Linked DNA regions of Saccharomyces cerevisiae S288C. The protein of the gene in region 1 purifies or fractionates together with the protein of each later gene. This does not show direct contact. Each region holds a gene or a part of one and is shown in the gene's direction. Other genes may lie near its edges.

Region 1 (5,293 bases):
TTGCGTGGGTGTTGCTTGTTTGTTTGCTGTTTAAGTATCGAGGAGATGTTGAAAAATGTATCGGGGGCCTCGAGGCGACACCTGCTAATGTTTACAATTTTCCCGATTGGGGTGCTAGAGGCATACAGTGGGCTACATGGCACAGCACGGCAGTGCAGAGTGAGAAAATATGACTTCACGCTCGAGGCGAGGCCACGCTTTCGAAGCTTCGAATGCCACTACCTAGACCATTGCTGTTTTGTACCTTCACGGTCCCATTAGAGACATTTTACTTAATGCAAGATTGCCATATCCGTTGTCATGGTACCAAACAGGGTAATAATTTCTAGAAATCATGATACACGTATGACATCTGGGTAACCTAATCCATCTGGGTAACCGATTTTTCTCTCCCTTTGCTTTCTCTTTACCACTCAGCTGACTTTATTATTTTTTTTATATTTTTCATTTTGACAAAATTATATAGTTAGGAAGAATACAATAGGACTGCGACAGAAACAGATAAGGGCTCTTTTTTCTTGGGGTTGGCTGCTTTTATTCATTAATTTAAGACTCAAGTGTGCTGCGTGAAATGCTCTCATACTATGAACACAATACTGCGTTCCAAACAAACAATTGCAATTCCGGTAGCAATGCCGCCACTACATACAACAGCGACGCCAATAATGATACGATCATGAATAAAAGAAAAAATGACCATTTCGAGTTTGATACACACACTTTCTACCAAAGATCGAAGAGAACAAAACGAGATTCTGTAAGTACAAAGTTTTCGGTCGGTTCCGGGTGTGCTAATCTTAATAACAACAACAACAACATCATCATCAACAACAACAACAACAACAATAATAATAATAATAACCATAATCATAATAACAGCAATAATACTGCAACCTACAATAATATTCATTATAAAAAAAATATCGAAATATGTCCCCTGAAACCGGTTAGTATGCACCACACTATGAACAGCCGCTTACTGAACGAATCTGAATTTTATTCTGAAACAGAAGAGTACATGATTCATGGTTATTTCGGTAACACTAATCGCGACATAACAGGCACGAGTCCTACTGGAAGTGCTAGTATTATACAACACCAGTATCATCTTCTACCATCCCAAAGTATAATTGCATCACAAGCACCCGGTACTGCCATGGCCGCGTTGACTAACAACAATATCGCTAACGATTACATGGATATAGATTAATAAGAAAAAAAATAACTGCAGGAAATGAAAATGAAAATGAAATGGAAAAAAAAAAAAGAAAATTTAACCTATTTAAAATAATACAATGTATTACATATTTATCACGACTGTTTACGTATCTCTACTCAATTTACTTTAAAGGCTAAGTGCTCATTCTGGCTACCTTACATCTATCTATAAAACGTTCAAAACTCAAACCTCACTAGGCCTGGAGAAAAAGGGAAAAAAAATATCTCCCGGGGGCGAGTCGAACGCCCGATCTCAAGATTTCGTAGTGGTAAATTACAGTCTTGCGCCTTAAACCAACTTGGCTACCGAGAGTGACTATTTTGATTTACTTCAAAATAAAGTGTCAGTACTACCCTTATTATATGAATGTTGTCGTAACCTCTCGGATTATATGTAGACAATGTTATGGATATATAGAATATAAGTGTTGGAATAAAAATCAACTATCATCTACTAACTAGTATTTACGTTACTAGTATATTATCATATACGGTGTTAGAAGATGACGCAAATGATGAGAAATAGTCATCTAAATTAGTGGAAGCTGAAACGCAAGGATTGATAATGTAATAGGATCAATGAATATTAACATATAAAATGATGATAATAATATTTATAGAATTGTGTAGAATTGCAGATTCCCTTTTATGGATTCCTAAATCCTCGAGGAGAACTTCTAGTACATTCTACATACCTAATATTATTGCCTTATTAAAAATGGAATCCCAACGATTATCTCAAAATTCACCCATTCTTCAATAAGAATTTACGAAATAAATCCGGTAACCATAAATCCACAGAGCCTCTTATATTCACTCTGTTCCTCCATCGCCTATTGAGAAACGTTGGAATAAAACTCTAAAAATATCATCTAGTTAGTTAGTTTTTATTTTACCAGTACATTGTCACTTGCGGAGGGAGGATGACATAAAGATTGAGACGCAGTCATTTAATGAAGTTTAAACGCGGGTACTTGATAAAGTAATACGATATTGAATCATGACGTATAAAGTGAAATGAACGAATGATTACGTAAAAATGTCGATTTTCTCTTGAGAGACTCCCATAGCCTCTAAGAGGCCTTCTACTACGTTCCATATATCTAAGAATGGGGCCATATCCAGTGGAATCCCAGCAATTATTTGAGAATCACCATTTCTCAGCCGATATTTTAGCAGAATTACTACCAATATCAGGGGGCAATAGTTGATCGCCTACTTTAACAAAAAATGTTGCTCACGTATTAACACAGGCAACAAAAAGGATATTACGCAAGAACGTAGTATCCACATGCCATCCTCCTTGTTGCATCTTTTTTTTCCGAAATGATTCCCTTTCCTGCACAACACGAGATCTTTCACGCATACATCGGAAGGATCACCCCCCACTCAAGTCGTTGCATTGCTAACATGTGGCATTCTGCCCATTTTTTTCACGAAAATTCTCTCTCTATAATGAAGACCCTTGTGCCCTGGACTCTGTAATACTTGAAACTACTTCCTCAATAATCGCTTGGAGACCTACCCCCACGCTTTTCAAACAAGGCGCTAGCAAAAAGCCTGCCGATATCTCCTTGCCCCCTCCTCCTGTTCGAGAGAACTACGACCCGACCAATAATAATGTCATACAAGAACCGCCAAGAACCAACTGCTGAACCTTAGATCTCCAATACTTTCAGTTGGAGTATGTGAATATATAAGTACCTGGTCGACTAATCTTCTTGCATCTTTTCGTATTCTTACATCCTATGTCGCTAATACAGTTCCCGCATAGAGAAGAAAGCAAACAAAAGTAGTCAATGCTAAAATACAAACCTTTACTAAAAATCTCGAAGAACTGTGAGGCTGCTATCCTCAGAGCGTCTAAGACTAGATTGAACACAATCCGCGCGTACGGTTCTACCGTTCCAAAATCCAAGTCGTTCGAACAAGACTCAAGAAAACGCACACAGTCATGGACTGCCTTGAGAGTCGGTGCAATTCTAGCCGCTACTAGTTCCGTGGCGTATCTAAACTGGCATAATGGCCAAATAGACAACGAGCCGAAACTGGATATGAATAAACAAAAGATTTCGCCCGCTGAAGTTGCCAAGCATAACAAGCCCGATGATTGTTGGGTTGTGATCAATGGTTACGTATACGACTTAACGCGATTCCTACCAAATCATCCAGGTGGGCAGGATGTTATCAAGTTTAACGCCGGGAAAGATGTCACTGCTATTTTTGAACCACTACATGCTCCTAATGTCATCGATAAGTATATAGCTCCCGAGAAAAAATTGGGTCCCCTTCAAGGATCCATGCCTCCTGAACTTGTCTGTCCTCCTTATGCTCCTGGTGAAACTAAGGAAGATATCGCTAGAAAAGAACAACTAAAATCGCTGCTACCTCCTCTAGATAATATTATTAACCTTTACGACTTTGAATACTTGGCCTCTCAAACTTTGACTAAACAAGCGTGGGCCTACTATTCCTCCGGTGCTAACGACGAAGTTACTCACAGAGAAAACCATAATGCTTATCATAGGATTTTTTTCAAACCAAAGATCCTTGTAGATGTACGCAAAGTAGACATTTCAACTGACATGTTGGGTTCTCATGTGGATGTTCCCTTCTACGTGTCTGCTACAGCTTTGTGTAAACTGGGAAACCCCTTAGAAGGTGAAAAAGATGTCGCCAGAGGTTGTGGCCAAGGTGTGACAAAAGTCCCACAAATGATATCTACTTTGGCTTCATGTTCCCCTGAGGAAATTATTGAAGCAGCACCCTCTGATAAACAAATTCAATGGTACCAACTATATGTTAACTCTGATAGAAAGATCACTGATGATTTGGTTAAAAATGTAGAAAAGCTGGGTGTAAAGGCATTATTTGTCACTGTGGATGCTCCAAGTTTAGGTCAAAGAGAAAAAGATATGAAGCTGAAATTTTCCAATACAAAGGCTGGTCCAAAAGCGATGAAGAAAACTAATGTAGAAGAATCTCAAGGTGCTTCGAGAGCGTTATCAAAGTTTATTGACCCCTCTTTGACTTGGAAAGATATAGAAGAGTTGAAGAAAAAGACAAAACTACCTATTGTTATCAAAGGTGTTCAACGTACCGAAGATGTTATCAAAGCAGCAGAAATCGGTGTAAGTGGGGTGGTTCTATCCAATCATGGTGGTAGACAATTAGATTTTTCAAGGGCTCCCATTGAAGTCCTGGCTGAAACCATGCCAATCCTGGAACAACGTAACTTGAAGGATAAGTTGGAAGTTTTCGTGGACGGTGGTGTTCGTCGTGGTACAGATGTCTTGAAAGCGTTATGTCTAGGTGCTAAAGGTGTTGGTTTGGGTAGACCATTCTTGTATGCGAACTCATGCTATGGTCGTAATGGTGTTGAAAAAGCCATTGAAATTTTAAGAGATGAAATTGAAATGTCTATGAGACTATTAGGTGTTACTAGCATTGCGGAATTGAAGCCTGATCTTTTAGATCTATCAACACTAAAGGCAAGAACAGTTGGAGTACCAAACGACGTGCTGTATAATGAAGTTTATGAGGGACCTACTTTAACAGAATTTGAGGATGCATGATTATAGCCTAGCTTTAAGGCTACTTTAAAAACTTTTTATTTATTCATACATATATATTATCGAACATTCGTATAACTTAATATCATTCAAAAAAAAAAAAAAAAAAAAAAGAAAACATATACACATATATATTTATGTTTATAGAGAGAGAGAGAGAAAATTTGAATTTTTGAATCATTTGCAAAGTTATATGTTTTATACATTATTTATTCATTTTTTTTGGTGTCGAGGACATTGTGCTGTTCAGAGAACCACTTAAAATACGCATCGTTCTGTAAATATCCACTTTCATTAAAAACCTTATTCACTTCTAATTTTGCCTTCAACTCCTTCTTGGAGTTTTCTCCCTTTTTTTTCTGAACAAGCTCAACCAGATATAATGGTTCGTTCTTTTCGAACTTTGTCTTTACATATATTTCCTCCTTTGTACCTCTTCTCTTTCCCACATAAACAGTCCCCTTTTCAATAAAACGAGAGAAATACCAGAAAAGTAGCGAGAG
Region 2 (3,888 bases), 140 kb from region 1:
GCAGGGAGGATTCTGTTGTTCGCACTTCTCTGCTGAAAGCTATCCTCCTCCTCATCTTCCTCATCTTCATCTGAAATGGCGATGCTAAAAGAATCTACCATTCGAAATATATCAGATCTATCCATTGCCTTTCCATCAAAACTCAATTCAAAGCTTTCGTTGGCATTTGTGGAAACACTGGCCCCGGCTCTCTGCTTCGCATTGGAATTAGGGAGATTCTTTACGGGCTTGCTGTTACCTTGCAGCTGCTTTTGTTGCCGTAACGTTGATGTCAGCTGCACTCCGCATAATTCGTCTAGTGATTTTGAGATCCGTGTCTTACTATTTGTGGACAATTGAATAGGTTGCAAGAAGTGATAGTTTTTCTCAAACTTCAACGAAATTAGCAGGATTATGATTTTTTTGGATATATCGTCTATCGTTTCGTGCACTGGAGATGGTAATTTATATGTGGTAACGACGGACCTAGGTAAGATGCACTTCTTGATGTTGAAATTTGTTTTTGATTTCGTGGGAGAATTCGTCAACTTAGGTGCCACACTAGTGCTACTTCTTGTACCATACAAATCAATTGGCTTGGTAAAATACCGTTTCTTTGTACACGTTCTGGAAGGAAAAATAATTTCATTTATGCTGCTCACTTCCTTCGTTTGATTGAATTTAAGAGATTTAGAATTTAAATGCGACACCGACTGATGATGCGGATGGGAATTTACATTGGTGTTTGCAGCGCCCATGGTATTTGTATATCTAGATGGCCTGTTATTATTACTGCTACCGCCCCCGGTATAATGGTCTTCATTAACTCCTTTATTAACCTGCGAAATACTGTTAAACCTTGGTCTCAGGTTTTTTGTGGGTGACTCTGGATAATAGAAAAACTGCTGGTTGGAATCGAAAGTCGCTTTTTGTTGGAAGCTCAGGACTGGCTGCTGATTCAAATTAAACTGCGTAGGAGGCAGGACCAGCCCACCGCTGTTATTGATGTAAGATGATTTGTTATTGAGCGTCCTTCTTGGCGACACTGATGGACTTGGGCTCATTGCTACCTACTTTTTTTCTTACTGACCTAAGGCTGCAGGTGCAAGAAAAGAGTAAAAGAATGTTAAAATACGTTTTGAAAGGTCTCTGTTTTCATGTACAATTGAGGGATAAAAAAATCTTTTCTTTCTTTCAATGCGGATGATTGACACTTTCTTATTTTGTGTTTTTATTTATGTTCTTTCCTAATCTGGAAAGCATATTAAAGACCGGCGCTACCCGGTTAAGTAATCATACACGTGAAAAGCACGTGAACAACAAAGCACTTTAAAACTCATATACTACGCATTTAAAGAATGCTAAAACGGCAATTGCCACTGGGCACCATTTAAAAGGTCAATAATGAATCTGTGACCTTTCTTTGCTATAGCATCACTACAACTATGTGTTGCTTGTCGCTAGCAACGAACCTATTATTCCTTCGCTTTATTGTCGAAGACCACAAAATACTCCAAAGCAATAGAATGTCTCTTTCCGCAAATAACTTACTCAGGGAAACAATACGAATATGTGCAGATTGCCGATCATTGCTGAAATGCCTCAAAAATATGCATTTTCTCATGACCTATTCATTCGGACCAATCATATGAAGGCATTGAACGTCCGGGTAACCACAATAAGAGTGCTCCCCCTTAGCGCTCTTGGTTATTGCCGGTATTTGCAACGTCGACAGGGTATATATAAGATGTATAGGGCATAGTGGGGAAGGAGTTTTAACTACCAATTGAGGAGTTTCAGGTAGGGTGTCAGTTTCATCACATCATCGAATTACACGTTTACCCAAGAGAAGAAACTAAAAACCACTATGCTATCGAAGAATTTGTATAGTAACAAGAGGTTGCTCACCTCGACGAATACGCTAGTCAGATTCGCTTCCACCAGATCCACAGGGGTGGAAAACTCCGGAGCAGGTCCTACATCTTTTAAGACCATGAAAGTCATTGACCCTCAGCACAGCGACAAACCAAACGTGCTGATACTGGGTTCGGGGTGGGGAGCTATTTCGTTTTTAAAGCACATTGACACCAAGAAGTACAACGTTTCCATCATCTCTCCTAGAAGCTATTTCTTATTTACGCCTTTGTTACCTTCTGCACCAGTTGGGACAGTAGACGAAAAGTCAATTATTGAGCCCATCGTTAATTTTGCTCTCAAGAAAAAGGGGAACGTTACCTACTATGAGGCAGAAGCCACCTCTATCAATCCCGACAGGAATACCGTTACCATAAAATCATTATCTGCCGTTAGCCAGCTATACCAACCTGAAAACCATCTAGGGCTGCATCAAGCAGAACCTGCTGAAATTAAGTACGATTATTTAATCAGTGCTGTAGGTGCGGAACCTAACACATTTGGTATTCCTGGGGTCACTGATTACGGTCATTTCCTGAAGGAAATTCCCAACTCTTTGGAAATAAGAAGAACTTTTGCCGCCAATCTAGAGAAGGCTAACTTATTGCCAAAGGGTGATCCCGAAAGAAGAAGACTACTGTCCATTGTCGTGGTTGGTGGTGGGCCTACTGGTGTAGAGGCCGCTGGTGAACTACAGGATTATGTTCACCAGGACCTGAGAAAGTTTCTCCCTGCATTGGCCGAAGAAGTCCAAATTCACTTGGTCGAAGCTCTGCCCATCGTTTTGAATATGTTTGAGAAAAAGCTTTCATCATACGCGCAATCACATTTAGAAAACACTTCGATCAAAGTACATCTGAGAACGGCTGTCGCCAAAGTTGAAGAAAAGCAATTGTTGGCAAAGACCAAACACGAAGACGGTAAAATAACCGAAGAAACTATTCCATACGGTACTTTGATTTGGGCCACGGGTAACAAGGCAAGACCGGTAATCACTGACCTTTTCAAGAAAATTCCTGAGCAAAACTCGTCCAAGAGAGGATTGGCAGTGAATGACTTTTTGCAGGTGAAAGGCAGCAACAACATTTTCGCCATTGGTGACAATGCATTTGCTGGGTTGCCACCAACCGCCCAAGTAGCGCACCAAGAGGCCGAATATTTGGCCAAGAATTTTGATAAAATGGCTCAAATACCAAATTTCCAAAAGAATCTATCTTCAAGAAAGGATAAAATTGATCTCTTGTTCGAGGAGAACAACTTTAAACCTTTCAAATACAACGATTTAGGTGCCTTAGCATACCTGGGATCCGAAAGGGCCATTGCAACCATACGTTCCGGTAAGAGAACATTTTACACCGGTGGTGGCTTAATGACCTTCTACTTATGGAGAATTTTGTACTTGTCCATGATTCTATCTGCAAGATCGAGATTAAAGGTCTTTTTCGACTGGATTAAATTAGCATTTTTCAAAAGAGACTTTTTTAAAGGATTATAGATGAAATTAACATGCCCTTTTCTGGAAAAAGGAAAAAAGGTGGTAGGCACCGTTTTTTCCTGAGTTTGCATCCTTTTTTTTCTAAAACCCTCTAAACAAAACCTAACACACACACACACGCACAAAAAAATGCACATGATGTTTTATTATTTATATATTCCCACTTTTTTCGAAATGATGCTTGACTAATGCACAAGCAAAAAACCCCGACAAGATTGGTTGATCACTTCAGCTTTTTCCTCCCATTGTCCTATATATATATCTGTGATTATTTATTTCTTCCTCTTATGTTTCTCTATTTATTTTATACGCCAAATCCCATTTGTATATACGTAACGAAAGCTTTATAATTCTTATGCCCCGCAAACACTCAATTGCCGAATGTTTCGTCTACTCACCTCAGTCATTGGAAAAACTCTTTGGCTTTTTTGATGTTTTCCAATACTAATTCTTGTGGAATATTCATATCTTTCAACACTATAAAACACACCATATTGGAC

The links. The genes of interacting proteins can lie anywhere in the genome.
Region 2: the proteins of CYB2 (region 1) and NDI1 purify together in Saccharomyces cerevisiae (affinity purification with mass spectrometry, with the first as the bait; one large-scale study listed by BioGRID). This does not show direct contact.

What each region holds. Positions count from the first base shown.
Region 1 is NC_001145.3:165,033-170,325, reverse strand, and holds CYB2 (L-lactate dehydrogenase (cytochrome)), read left to right. Parts: upstream 1-3,017; coding exon 3,018-4,793; downstream 4,794-5,293. Other genes in the region: YML053C (uncharacterized protein), read left to right, coding at 572-1,210; YML054C-A (uncharacterized protein), read left to right, coding at 2,545-2,703; signal peptidase complex subunit SPC2, read right to left, coding at 5,000-5,293. UniProt on the Saccharomyces cerevisiae protein: Catalyzes the oxidation of (S)-lactate (L-lactate) to pyruvate with subsequent transfer of electrons to cytochrome c. Is involved in the utilization of (S)-lactate as a sole source of carbon for growth.
Region 2 is NC_001145.3:27,766-31,653, reverse strand, and holds NDI1 (NADH-ubiquinone reductase (H(+)-translocating) NDI1), read left to right. Parts: upstream 1-1,846; coding exon 1,847-3,388; downstream 3,389-3,888. Other genes in the region: YML119W (uncharacterized protein), read right to left, coding at 1-1,043; Rag GTPase GTR1, read right to left, coding at 3,792-3,888.